Linked DNA regions of Oreochromis niloticus. The protein of the gene in region 1 purifies or fractionates together with the protein of each later gene. This does not show direct contact. Links are inferred from orthologs where the notes say so. Each region holds a gene or a part of one and is shown on either strand. Other genes may lie near its edges.

What was found.
Region 2: the proteins of emc1 (region 1) and tmed2 purify together in Homo sapiens (affinity purification with mass spectrometry; 3 studies listed by BioGRID and IntAct, with this or other methods). This does not show direct contact. The link is inferred for Oreochromis niloticus from reciprocal best matches to the Homo sapiens genes EMC1 and TMED2.

The regions. Positions count from the first base shown.
Region 1 is NC_031984.2:24,272,210-24,279,369, reverse strand, and holds the start of emc1 (ER membrane protein complex subunit 1), read left to right. Parts: upstream 1-4,133; 5' UTR 4,134-4,223; coding exon 4,224-4,315; intron 4,316-4,770; coding exon 4,771-4,898; intron 4,899-4,985; coding exon 4,986-5,051; intron 5,052-5,134; coding exon 5,135-5,228; intron 5,229-5,313; coding exon 5,314-5,442; intron 5,443-5,624; coding exon 5,625-5,751; intron 5,752-5,916; coding exon 5,917-6,075; intron 6,076-6,264; coding exon 6,265-6,432; intron 6,433-6,708; coding exon 6,709-6,780; intron 6,781-7,031; coding exon 7,032-7,130; intron 7,131-7,160. Other genes in the region: E3 ubiquitin-protein ligase UBR4, read right to left, coding at 17-146, 299-402, 534-631, 3,045-3,169. UniProt on the Homo sapiens protein: Part of the endoplasmic reticulum membrane protein complex (EMC) that enables the energy-independent insertion into endoplasmic reticulum membranes of newly synthesized membrane proteins.
Region 2 is NC_031972.2:11,314,570-11,321,508, forward strand, and holds tmed2 (transmembrane emp24 domain-containing protein 2), read left to right. Parts: upstream 1-4,496; 5' UTR 4,497-4,693; coding exon 4,694-4,873; intron 4,874-5,388; coding exon 5,389-5,581; intron 5,582-6,079; coding exon 6,080-6,187; intron 6,188-6,276; coding exon 6,277-6,401; 3' UTR 6,402-6,417; downstream 6,418-6,939. Other genes in the region: ptpn11a (tyrosine-protein phosphatase non-receptor type 11), read right to left, coding at 1,229-1,242. UniProt on the Homo sapiens protein: Involved in vesicular protein trafficking. Mainly functions in the early secretory pathway but also in post-Golgi membranes.

The DNA of each region.
Region 1 (7,160 bases):
CTTTATGGAATCTTACCATCTGAAAGTGTCTTGACAGTTTGAGGCAACTTGGCAGACTTCATCATAGCAGTGAAAGTAATGATTTCTGTGCGATCTAGTCTGCTGCAGCCAGTGCAGAGTCCCTTTATTAAAAGGATCAGGTGTTTCTAAAGAACAACAAATAGCAGCACAATTTCATTTCAATTAATTTTTTATTTATTTCAATGCATAAGTCAATACAAAGCCGAAAACCACCATGAAATGCAAATCAGTGATAACTAGAAATGACTACACCCACCCTGCTGACTGTCTCACTTACCTGTGAAACTGCACATGCCTCATCAGGGTTCTCCAAGCGCAGCAATGAGAATTCAATCAATACTTTGCACGCTGCAGCAACTGACAGCAATTGATTTCTTGGTACTAGGGAAACAGAGAAAAGAACAAAAATAACATCGAGCAACAAAACCGTTTTCACTGAAAGATCTTGGCTCATTGTCAGTGAGTGGCAGGAATTTGTCTATTACTCTAAGGAGAAAATGAAATACACATACTTTGTCCACATACTGTGGTGATGTAATGTGCTGAGAGTGCCACGAATGATGAGTAGAAAGGTTCATACTGCTTGTCGTGGTGAAGAATGTCTGATTCACTGCAAACAAAGGAAATATGACTTTTTACACAACATTTATAGTGGGTTGTTTTTGTTTGTTTGGGGGAGGGGGTAGAGAATACAGACAGGACAGTGACATAGAGTGGATTTGATCTGTTTAACTGCTCCTCCCTTCTTCAACCAGTGTCTTAATTCCTCCACGCAAATATGAGTAAGAGGTGCAAAGATGGGATTTAAAGTGTTCACAGGACAATCTCATGTTCTGCTGTGTCACATTAAACAGATGGTAACCACTCATGATGTACATCAAATCAACTGCCATACTGAATGTCCAAGTAACAATAAAGAAAACACCTGCTGACTGCAGCCTTACTTTTAAAATATAGACAGAATCAGCTCCATCTGTTGCTATGGTGACATTACATTGTGAATTGTGAAATTGATCACTGAGGCACTGCAATTATGCAAACTTAGCTTACCCTACAATTTATCCAATGTGTTTGTGCAAGAATTCAGTCTTAAAAATTAATTAAAAACTTATTAAAACAGACTTTTTATAATTATCATTCATTATCATCCATCCATCTGCACGCTGCAAACTCATGTTTGTTTTCATGCAACTGTCTGATATTTCTTACACATTTTGTCAACACAACAGGATCCTGGAAAATGAAAGAATAGAATGCTTAATGGTTTATAGTCTGGTTAAAGGTTAGCATCAAAATAATTACTCTTCTTCAGTATACACCACCTCAGTGACTTAACTGATTAACATTTCTGGTATATCTCCCAGGAGCATTAGTTTGTCTCAGTTAATTTTTTTTTTTTAAAGATCAATTTAATACATCAAACCACAATCAGTTGCAATATATATGCAACAAATACTCAATATCATCATCAATTAAAAAAAAGAAACAGTCATGACCTTCACAAAAAGAACATAAAATAATAAAATGAATGCTACTGCTAACAAACAAGCTGCAATAACATTGCCATTCTGTTATATGTGCTACAGTGTGGTACTGCTTGTGGTACTTGCAAAGCCATGAGAGAGAACACACAAAAACCTATCACCCACCTTGACCAAACTCAGTGTGGCTAAACTCGGTGGTAATTGGCAATTCAAGCCTACTTCTTCAATGTCGTCTTCACAGAATGTAATATTTCTTTAGGATACGAGGTGTAAGGAAACAAGGTGTGTTTATACTGATGGTATTGGAACTGGCTTTTGGTGTGGTCGGAATATTTTAAGTACTTTTCCTTAACACTTGGGGCCTCTAATAAACAGGCTTGTTACAATTACACAACTAAAAGAAAGAAACATTTTAATCAATACTTACATAGATAATGGAGTCTTTTTTTATTATAGTCAAACTGCACAATAGGATAATTCAACTACACAACACTACTTTCGATCCTCATAACAGTTGTGTTCGCACAGCCTGTTGCACTGGAAAACGAAACCAAGAGACATACTAGGAAGCTTTTATTTCTATGTACTAGCTTATGTTACGCCACAAACAGAGAATCAAGGCACAACTACGGAATCAAATAAATCACTCAACAATACTTGCAAAGCACTAATACAATAAATATCTACTTTTATGAGAACATAAATAGGTGGGCATGTTGTAACGAGATAACAAGTTCATTCTGCCCCAGCATCTTTGTGGTTAAGCAGAACCATGCAGCATTTCCTAAAATACAAGTCTTAGAAGCAATAACCTTAAGTAACCATTTTACGAATAATACGTTAACTGCAACTCAACATCACCTGATCAAAAATGAGTGGAGAGGTGAGGTCCCCCGCCTACTTTCAGCCTAACCACAAGCAGATGACGTTAAGCAGACTATTTTTGCCACCCTTATAATGCGTGAACTGGCTAATGACATGCCCAGATTACGCCTTATAATGCAACTCCAAGACGAAAGTATTGTTGAATTTAGCCCAATGAAGTCACCTGACGTAGTCAAATATAACTCTGGCTGGGGCGTTTGAGAGCCAGTCCAGTTGGAAGGCCCCCCGAGTTAGCCTGCCGGCTAATGTTTGTGTTAGCTAGCTAATGATGAAGCAATTTTGTTAAAGCTTACACTGCAACGCCGTTTAACGTTTGCACGGCGCCGACATTACGTTAAAGATAAATGTCCATCAGTCATAAGACGTGCTTCGTTTCAAACTCTGTAGTCACCAGGAAAGAAACGCTATATAGCATTTTGAGTAAGTTAGCTGTCATTAGCACATCAGCTAACGTCTTGAGCTGACTCCATGCCAGTGCAAGTTAAGCTTAAATAGCTTGCTAGCCGCTAACGTTAGCAAAATGGGTATCGTTTCCCATCAAACTATACTAACCAAGCTAGGTTAGCAATTTAGCCAGCTAGCCTACGCCTAGGTGGACACAAGCAGTATTCAAGCAAATAAGAACCTGGAATTTATTGACAATTAACCGGTTACCTGTTGATTATAGACCCAATAAGCTGAGGTAGCTCCTTCGTCTCAAAAGCAGTGTACGAAGCTGATAAAAGCGGCCGAACTGCCGCTGTCCATTCGTGTTCCCCATCTCCTCCGCTCGACGCCATCTTGAAATCCTAACAGAAAAAACTAGCTACTGGAAGAAGAAACTGCGGTGTAAGTAAATCATGGGGGCGCTCTCACTCTGATACCAGCCCTGACAACATTTTACTCGAAATTTTTACTGGTTTACTGTTTATAAACCCATTTTAAAATTATGTATAGTAATATGGTTCCCAATTTACACGAAGGAATAAAGCGATGTATGTTTTTTTCCATCATTCTTTTGTGATGTAATTACATATACAAGTTGTAAAACTTCCATATTGGTTATTATTATCTTTTATTTTTTTTTTTACCTATTTTAACTTATCTTATTATTCATTTAATATTAACTTCATTAACAAACCAGGAATCACGACTTTTTGACTTTATGTGACTTTCATCCACATATGTTAATATTCTTGTATGACGATAGATAGATATAGTAATACGACACCTTTTGATTCCAAAAAAGTCCACAATAGCAACAGGACTTTATCCAGTATCATCAAGTAAGTAAAAAATAAAATAAATGTATAAAGTAAATATTAATTCATATAATAAATTAAAGAAAATAAATACTTTTGTTGTCTAATTACTGAATGCAACACACAGGGCCTAGAATAATAGATAATGGAATATTAAATACACAAATCGTCTTCGTTTTTCTTTATTTCTTCGTTTTTATTTTCGCTTTTTTAACGCGTGGGGGTGCAGCCTATGTCTTCCACTTGAATCCTGTTATTTATCCCCTGTGTTACCATTAATTTAAAATGTTATCATTTGTGTTTCTGTCAGATGATCCCATCACACATTTTCCCACACATGAATTAAACTCACAGTTTTTTTCAATGGTGATCTGTTTTCATTTTTTTTTTTCTTTCAGTTTAGGATTTGATTCAATCCATGTCTGGGAAACTGGTTGAGTATTTGTTAATCTGAAAGGTCACCACCAGAACCGACGCTGTGTGTCTTTACAACCTTTAGGGGGCAGCACTTCTCCTTCGCAGAACGAAAAGGAAGTCGTTCGGCTTCCGACTTCCTCCTCCCGTTGAAGAGCAAGTCAGAGCTGCTGCAGCAATGGCAAAGCTAATTTTGCTTTGGCTTAAATGTGTCATATTATACAATGCTGTCGGTGCTGTGTTTGAGGACCAAGTAGGAAAATTTGATTGGTAAGAGGTGTCAAGTGAATGATCAAATGTGTGCCGATTATGTTTTAATGTGGAAATGCTAATGTTAGCACCTGTCACAGCAGCTAGCTGCTAATCGGTGGACTTTGAATGAGAACAGGTCAAAACACACCAGAATGAAGACAAACAAATGTAAATTTGGTAGTTAATTTCAGGAGGTGTACATATGTCCATGCTTTATAGAGTAAGTGAATCATTGGTCCCACTAAATTCAGCAAGTGAAACGCGATAGAAAGTGATTTAAAGGCAATAGGAAAACGTTGTAACCAACAAACCAGTGTCATGTAGTTTCGCCTTTTCAGTTTGAGAAATATGTCTTTGCACCGGGATTGGATCCATTTGGTCATTAAAACAATGGTGTTTTAATGGTGTCACTTTGATTATGGGTGAGCTGGATGACAGTCTGACTGCTTGTGCTTTCTCTTCATGTTTCACAGGAGGCAGCAGTATGTAGGCAAGGTTCGTTTTTCTCATTTTGACACACATGTGCAGTCATCCAAAAAGGTTCTTGTAGCAACAGAGAATAATGTTTTTGCCGCACTCAATACAAGGACTGGGGAACTCTGTGAGTATGTTGTTAGTCTGAAAGACAAAGTTCTCATATATTAGGTATAGTCTTTTATTGTCATTTTGATATCAATGTCTGTTACAGTCTGGCGACATGTAGATAAGTCTGGACCCGAAGGAAACATTGATGCTCTTTTGCACCATGGACAAGGTGATTTATTTTTTGTAATTAATCTAATAATGTATTTACATTGCAGTAATTTTGCAGTTGATAAAACTGTCTTTGTGTCCTAGATGCAATCCTAGTGGTTGGTAATGGTCGCCTCCTGCGATCCTGGGATGTCAATGTTGGTGGTTTGAACTGGGAAATTGTGCTTGACTCTGGAAGGTGATTATTTCCTTAAGGTTAAGAATGGTCTTTGTTTATTCATTTATTTGATTAAATCTTAACTTGCTTCTTTTATATGTTCAAGTTTCCAGAAAGCATGTCTAGTGGGGCAGCAAGGCACAGTGAAAAACGTGGCTGTTTTGAAAAAAAACATTATCTCTCTCCATTACCTTTCTAATGGCCATCAAAAATGGATAGAAAATCTACCAGAAAGGTATGTTTTTATATTAATGTTAACTTTGTGTACTGGTAATCTCTGTTTCAATGAACATAATTCTACACAGAAACTCATTTTTTCATTTCTTTTTTCTGTTTTTTTTTAGAAAATACCAGACAGTGTTGTAAAAACAGTAATTTTATTATGAAACTTTTGTCACCTTCTGTTTCTCTCCACAGTGAGACTGTGGATTACCAGACTGTTTATTCTGGAGGAAATGGTGAAGTTTATGCTTTGGGAATTGTTCCCCATTCCCACGTTGTTATTATTGCTTACAGCACTGATGATGGAGAGATAATCAAGCAGGTAATCCTGTTTATTAATGATAGTATCAAAAAAATACATCTATGCTCTGTAAATATAACATATATAAAATGGATAATTTGTGGAAGTACCAACTAACTCAAACACTGAATCAGTGGTCAGTATATAGAATGATTTTAGTGAGTTTCTTGCCTGTGATGTTTTCAGATCTCTGTTGAAGCTCCGTGGCTGTCCAACATAGTGGCCAGCTGTGCAGTAATTGGTCAGGGGGTGCTGATTTGTGTAGACTCTGCAACTCCATCGCTGTACATGTGCGACTTACACCTAGATACGCATGATTTACAGATGACCCAGATCCCTCTGCAGGTATGACTCTAATAAAAACCTTTCTAAACCTTTCTAAATTACCATGTATGTCCTCTGCTTTAGATGGTTAAGTTTTAAATTCTGCCTCTCTCTCTTTCTCAGCTCTCCACTTCTGTGATCTTATATGTTCCCTTATGAACACACCGGGTTTTTTTTTTTTACAGTCTTCTCCTATTTGTCTTCTCACAGTCACTGGGACTTGAAGTAGCTCCAGACTTTCAACCGGTCCTAGTGTCACACCAGCCCAACTCAGCCCATCAGCCTCTATCTGAGTTCTTCCTTCAGCTCGGCCCTGATAACTTCCTGCTTCTCCAGCTCAACAATGGTCAGATAGTTACACTCAGGGATTTCAAGCCAGTACGTAATCTTTTCTCTATATTAGCCTGTCCTGGTATTGCAGTTGTTTTGCTATAACAGCCAACATCAGTAAATATCTGCCAAAATGTAAATGTGGCTTGGCATCCTTGCCAAAATATTTTATTTCCCCAGGCAAATATCAAACAAAATAACTGTTAAAAACAGCCAAATACAATACTTTTTTTTAAACCCGTAACATTTTTTTGAATGTATTATTTTTCTACAGAAAGATCATGTCTTTTGTTGTATTATACAGAGCTATATCCTTTCTTGTAGGCCTTGCTGGTTTCCTTTGCAACCACTGGAGAGAAGACCATCGCTGCTGTTATGTCCCCAAAGAATAAAACTGTGAGTTAAATTAATATTTCACCTTTAGATTTATTTGTGGGTTTTGATGTGTTTTAGCTGTTTTCTTAGTCTCAAATGCATTTGATTTTAAAAAGCAGACATGTAATACACCTATTGATTTACTTAATGAAAAGGTTAGACTTGTTACTGTAAGATTTTTTTGTCATGTTTTTCAGGAAACCATTTTTAAGTGTTTTTTTTGTTAAATAATGTTCTTAATTGGGAGATGATTATTTGTTTCTTTCCCACAGGCTTGCAGTATTAACCTCTTTAGTGCTGAAACTGGACGGAGACTTCTAGACACAACACTGATTTTCGTTATGGATCCTAATGGTGGGAAACCAGAGAAAGTGAGTCAGTTTTCTTTCCTGAGGTACTGT
Region 2 (6,939 bases), on another chromosome or scaffold:
ACTATTCAGAGAAAGTATTATCAAAGTTCTTCTAAAAGTTTGTAGTTACATCTCCAGTCACTTATCTGGGCATTTTGAAGTAATACTCAAGTTTAATTTGAATGGTCACCTGGACATGAAAGCTGAATCTGATTAAAACAGCTTAAATGTGTCAATGACTTACACAATAATGAGGATTTCAAAAGGCCACTGGGGAAGTTATTCCTATCACCATCCTTGCTGTTAAAAATGTCTTGCCTAGATTTTAATAAACGATTCCTTTGAGAGTCTTGTCTCTCTCTTACAATGTTTCTGGTATTATTGCACAGGGTGCTTGCTGACATCGAGACTGATTTGGAGCCAAAGGTATAAAAGAGCCACACTGTCTTTGTCTTTCTTCACTTCCTCTCTATCCAACTCTGTATATTCCAGTAAAGACATTCGGAGGCTGACTGCGCTCTTTCTACAAGTTGCCACCCGGCACTCCCCCGAAAAGACTGCCTGCCTGTTTCACTCATGCGTCCATTGTGGTCATCTCCTGCCTCTGCCTCCCTGTGAATATGATCTTCATCTTTTCCCTCTCGTCTGTACAAGAAGTCTGTGGTCTGTGCACCATCTATGTGAAATATCTTTATTCCACTCGCTAACGATGACTTTTTAACGCGTTACATTTATAATCTAAGGAATTTAATTTACTTAAAATGTTGAAACTGCTATGACTTCTGCCTACTCTGCACATATCTATAACGTGAAAGCACTTCATTTCCGTTTTTCTGATGCACTCCTGCTGTTTTCCCGTTTTCTCGTTAAAATGACTCGTTAATTTTTGTATCAATATGGGGTGTCTTATGTTCAGTTATTTGTAAATACAGCTGGTTTGACTTGGACAGCAGCTCAAAGCATAACAAATCAATCCAGTAAGATGCATCTGTTAACAGCAGCTGTAGCAGGGTTAGTTAACTTTAACTGTACCTATTAGTAACTACAGTTTGTGGACAGCTTAGCTTTGTATGTTCTGTACCAATGTTACAGCGCTGTTTACTTAACAATTTAAGACTGCTTTAAGTTGCCGGTGTAACGCTAAATGAAGCAGCCCTACACCACCTATTTCTGTTTATTTCCAGAAACGTCGGAACTCTCATTGACCGTCTACCGACATACCAAGATCCAAACAGCTGAGTTCACTTAAAGTTAGCAGACTCAGCTAGCATTATCAGCAGACATTGTTTTCCAGACAGCCCCCGCTTACCTCCGAGATGTCATTTTTTTCGTTCCTCACTTCCTCGCTGGCAGTTAGCAGTAGCTTTAATTAGCTGGCTAACGTTTCCCACCGTTAAAGCTTCAGTTACAGTATAAAGTGCTTCATTGGTTCACATCCGGTCAAAACGGGCACCTAAATCTAGTTAAGCATCGACACAAATTTTTTTGATAGCGCCCGTTACAAAAAAATGTCTCTAGGCCTCGGCCCCGGAGACTTCACAGCAAGTCGATTATTGGACGTCACCAAACCTGCGACAAAACAGAGGGTGTAATGGATTTTTTCACCCTCGGCGGCCGTTTCTCGTGGTCGCTTTAACCCGCTTAAATAAAAGCTACAGATCTCGGTCCGTCCGGTAAACGGCGTCAGATAAATTAAAGAGCCAGATCACTTTCACTCAGCGCATGCTCGTTAAAAGGTTTTTTTACGATACAGCGGCGAAAGCGGCAAACGACGAAGAACGTCTGCGAAGGCTTCTCGAACAGTTCGTTGACTGTCTGTGCTCACGGCAAAGCGAAACTTAATCGCAGCTCTAAGCCCTAACGGGAGATAAATTACATTTCATATGTTATTTGTGACGTAATTAGATGCGCAACCATTTTTAAAATGATATTATGAAACTTTCGTAATGTTTTGTTGTGGCGACTCGGGTTATTAGAAACGCGTAAAAATAAATACAGATAAAATTAGTATACATTAACAAATTTTTTCTGTTTGAACATTTTACATGCAATCTTTGAGCTATCCAATATTTGTCATTTGCTTTGTAAGCAAAAACATATAAAATATTTCACATAAAACAGAGACTACCTTAGGAGAAAGTCAAGTGGTGATGTAAGTAACTTTATCACTGAAGCATTGTACTCTTTTCCCCAAAATAGTACATCCATAAGACTGGTGAACATGCATCTTCCTTTTAAATCATTTTATTTATATTTGATCCAACAAATATAAATATTTGGAGAAACCTATTAAAACCTTGGCCAACATTCAAGTCATGATGGATGAGATTTCAACCTGGCAAACAGGGTGCTGGTGTAAACTGCTAATATTGGCCAAAGACAAAGGAAAAGAAGAGGAGGAGGGTGTGTTAGGAGGCAATGAGAGAGTAGGAAAGACAGAAGTCTGGGGGTTAAAGTTGGCAGTATAAATATACTGTGGTAGATATATTGTTTATGCAGGAGACCAGATGGAAGGGAAGCAAGGCCAGGAGTATTGGAGGGGGATTCAAGCTGCTCTACCATGGTGTAGATAGAAACAGGAGTGGAGTAGGGGTAAGGAAGAGTATGTGAACAGTGTTGTGGAGGTGAAAAGTGTCAGGCAGGAACATGAGTCCGAAGCTGGAAATCGAATGGTCGATGTTGAATGTTGTCAGTGCGCATGCCACACAGGCTGGATGTCAATTAGAAGAGAAAGACAAATTCTGGAGTAAGTTGAGTAAGTCAGATGAAGCAATAATGTCCCCAGGGGGGACATTATTGTGATTGGTGCAAAATTCTATGGACATGTAGACAAAGGGAACAGAGGTATTAAGTAGGTAAGGTGTTAGAGAAATGCAGAGGGACAGATAATAGTACATTCTGCAAAAAGGATGGAAATGTCTGTACTAAACATGTACTTTAAGAAGAGGGAAGAACACAGGGTGACATATAAGAGATGAGGAAGGTGCACACAGAGGGACCACATCTTATGCAAAATGTGCAATCTGAAAGATATAGGAAACTGGAAGGTGGTGTCAGAGGAGAATGTCATTAAGCAGCATCAGATGGTTGTCTGTAGGATGCCTTTGTACATTAAGAAGAGGAAGCAAGTGAAGGCAGAGGCAAGGAGTAAGTGAAAGAAGTTGAAGAAAGAAGAATGTTGCACAGAGTTCAGGAAGAAGTTGAGGCATACTCTGGGTGGAAAGAAAGAGTTACCCGATGACTGGGAAAGTACAGCTTTAGTGCTGACACTGGTGTTTGGTGGATCCTCTGGACACAACCGGGTAAAGCAGACCTGGTGGTGAAATGATGAAGTACATGAAACTATAGGAAATGAAATGAAACAGGTTAGTAAAGAAGGAGTGACATATTTAGGAGATGAAGAAAATAGATAGGAGTACGGGACGGCTAGGAATACAACAACGAGAGAGGTGGCAAATGAGAAGGATTGTAGTGTGTTGTAAGTAAGAAACTAAGGAAGGAGAAAAGGACTTTTGCTGATTGGCTAGACAGAGAAATTGAAATGGAAAGTATATGCTGCAGGTTAGAGTGGTTAAGCATAGAGATGAAAATGTACTAACAATAGAAGAGAGTGTGTTAAGATGACGGAAGGAGCACTTTGAGCTGCTGATAATTCCAGAAAATGAAGGAGACAGGAAAACAGATGGAGAAAAGTTAGTGAATCACAATGAGTGGAGGATTAATAAGGAGGAAGTGAGGGCAGCTATGAAGAGGATGAAGAGTGCAAACCGAGTTTATCCAGATGACATACCTGTGAAGGCATGGAGATGTCTAGGAGAGCCGTGTTCCAGGTTGTGTTAAACAGTCTTTTGGTTCAAACTGTTTAATACAATGTTGTAAAGTGACAGGAAACCTGAGGAATGGAGAAGAATCAAAATACTTTATTAAGCTGAGGGGAAATTATTTGGTCACTGTTGCTCCAAGACAGTAAGAACAGTAACTTACTAAACTGAATTAAATAATACAAAATATTACAAAGTTACAAATCTAACAAAAAAGTATTCAAGTCTGTCATTCATGCCACACTACAAAAAAGTCTTACAGTGATGCACTGTGTCTTCAAGTAGTATTATCTTCAAGTAGAGTTTTGAACTGCTATGCAACATTAATAAATTATTATTATCATTATTATTGTCGTTACTGCAAAATGCTATCAACTGATATGAAATGTTTTCATAATCGTGTACTATTACTTAGATGACTTAGTGCTGTTGTTTTGGATATTTTCTTATTATATTCTTATTATATATTTGTATAAATATATGTATTTAACTCATTAAATTAGTGCATTTTCACTTATGTTCGTTTGATTTGATTTTTTTTATAAATCAGAAAAAAGTATTTACATTCAGAGTAAAAACACAAATTATAGTAAACTAAAGAACACGACTCTTTAATTATTCGTGTTGCACATAAAGACCCTTTACGGGGTTGACTTTGGCAAGCAGATATAACTTACATGGACTTAAGGGACTTCTTCCAATAACAAATGAGAAAACGAAGAGTTGTCTTTCACTTCCTTTTCAGTGTGTGTCATGTATTCTCGGAGGTTTGGCCCTCGCAGGTACCCGTGCAGTAAGCCCGTACGTGGCAGTCTGAGAGCAGCACAGAGTAGCCGAGCTTGTTGCGGCTCGTCTCCTGCAACAGTCCACTCACACAAACTGGATATACATTAGCATAGAAAATTTTTATACCGTCAGCTTTACGTTTACGCTCTCCATACAACCACGGAAACATGTTTACCTTGTCGGAGCTAGTTGTCTTGCTGGCCGTCCTGTCTGCCACTGCTTCTGGCTACTTCGTTAGCATAGACGCCCATGCCGAGGAGTGCTTCTACGAGCGGGTCAACTCCGGTACCAAGATGGGCCTCATGTTTGAAGTGGCCGAAGGAGGCTTCCTGGACATCGACGTCGAGGTGAGATGTTTCATTCGGATAGCAAAAGAGTCACCTAACGCGAGGCAGAATGTACTTGTAAATCATAAAATGCAATGCAACACAAGGCCTGTGCTAATGTTAGCTATTAGCCGGTACCGTCAGGTAAAACTAGTTGGATGCAAAGCAGGTGTAAAGGATTTAACATACAGTTGAATGGAAAACGTTTACATCTTACAGAGTTGCTTTTTTTAGTTTCCCGCTAAGAGCTGCTCCATAATGATGATTAAATTACCCATTATGATATAGGAAGTGCAGCATTAGCATTGTTTCTAAGTTGCTAATTATGTAGCTAATTATTGATTATTGAATAGTCAATGCGCTGTAGACGTTGTAGAATTCGTTTATTTTCGCTAGTTTTAAGCAGAAAATCTAGCTATTTCTGCAGACAGTCTGACTTAGTTTCTGCCATATGTTTCCTAAAGCACATCATGCCCGTCATGTTATTCTCCACTCAAGCAGCAATGTCAGTTATTTAGATATTCTTCTATCTCCAGATAACAGGACCTGACGGTAAGCAAATTTACAAAGGGGACAGAGAGTCCAGTGGGAAATACTCTGTGGCAGCGCACATGGATGGAACCTACAAGTTCTGCTTCAGCAACAAGATGTCAACCATGACACCCAAGATTGTCATGTTCACCATTGATATCGGAGAGGCTCCCAAAGGCCAAGATATGGAGACGGAAGGTACACAGTGGGGATTTATGTAGTTTAACCGCAACTCTTTTTATTCCTGTTGCTTGTAAAATTATTATTCCTTTTATTCATTTCTCATTTTTTGACTTTATTATGTGGATTCACTGTTTCCCTCTTCGTAGGTGGTGACAGCTGGGATGGTAGGGCACAGCAGGCTTTGACTAAACTACTGTTGTGAAATAAATTTTTGAGCTTGTGATGCACTGCAGTCTTCTCTAACCAGAGTTGCGTCTGTAGTAAAAACTAATTAAGCATACATATGTCAGACGCGGTGATGTTTGCGAATGATTTGACTTGTTGCACATGTTGAGAACATGTATGAAGTATAAATGCAGATACATGCATCACAGGTGTGAAAAGGATATGCACATCTTGCATGTTTTTTTTTGTTGTTTGTTTGGGGGGGGTTCTTTTTCAAATGGGGGTAGCAGGGTTCTTTACCACTGTGTTGTGACTCATCACTGACAAGTCACTTTTCTCTTGTTTCAGCCCACCAAAACAAGCTGGAGGAGATGATCAACGAGCTGGCAGTTGCCATGACAGCCGTGAAGCACGAGCAGGAGTACATGGAGGTCCGTGAGAGGATACACAGAGCAAGTAAGAGCCTTTACATTAAGTCCAATAACCATTGTAATCATAAGTGTAGATAAATCTTTATAATTGTTCTCCTCTTCTTCTCCATCCAGTTAATGACAACACAAACAGCAGAGTGGTCCTGTGGTCATTCTTTGAAGCTCTGGTTCTGGTGGCAATGACACTCGGACAGATTTACTACCTGAAGCGATTTTTCGAAGTGCGGCGAGTGGTGTAGTGCTATTCAAATGATACTCCTCTGTGTCCTCCACTGTACTTTTTTGTTTTGTTTTGTTTTTCCCCTCCAACACCAAGACAGTTATTTACACTGTGGAAATGAGAGTGGCAGTTTTGAGTAAAGCCTACATGTGATTGGATCTCAGAGGTTTTGTTCTCTTGTTACCTGTTTGGTTTCTTCTTTATAAATGTAATTTATGTTTGGAACGAATGGCCAAAAGATTGTGGGATAAATTTCAGTTTATTAGTTTTTCTTTTTAACAGATCTGTTTAATTACAGTTAGTACAGTTGTTTCCTGTGCAAATGACTGTAAGGCTCAGTGTCTGCAGTCAAATGAAAGACTTAAAATTGCACATGAATGGACAGGTATGTGTGGAGTCAGAGTGGAATGTTGCCTATATTAAGTTTGAAATGGGAACCTTTTTGAAATGATAAAAATGGCACATCTGAAAACATCAGTGCAGTAGTTTAGTGTCTGAGATAGGAAAAGTTTGATTTCAGGTGTCAAAGCCAAGTCAGACTGGCAGATACTGCCAAT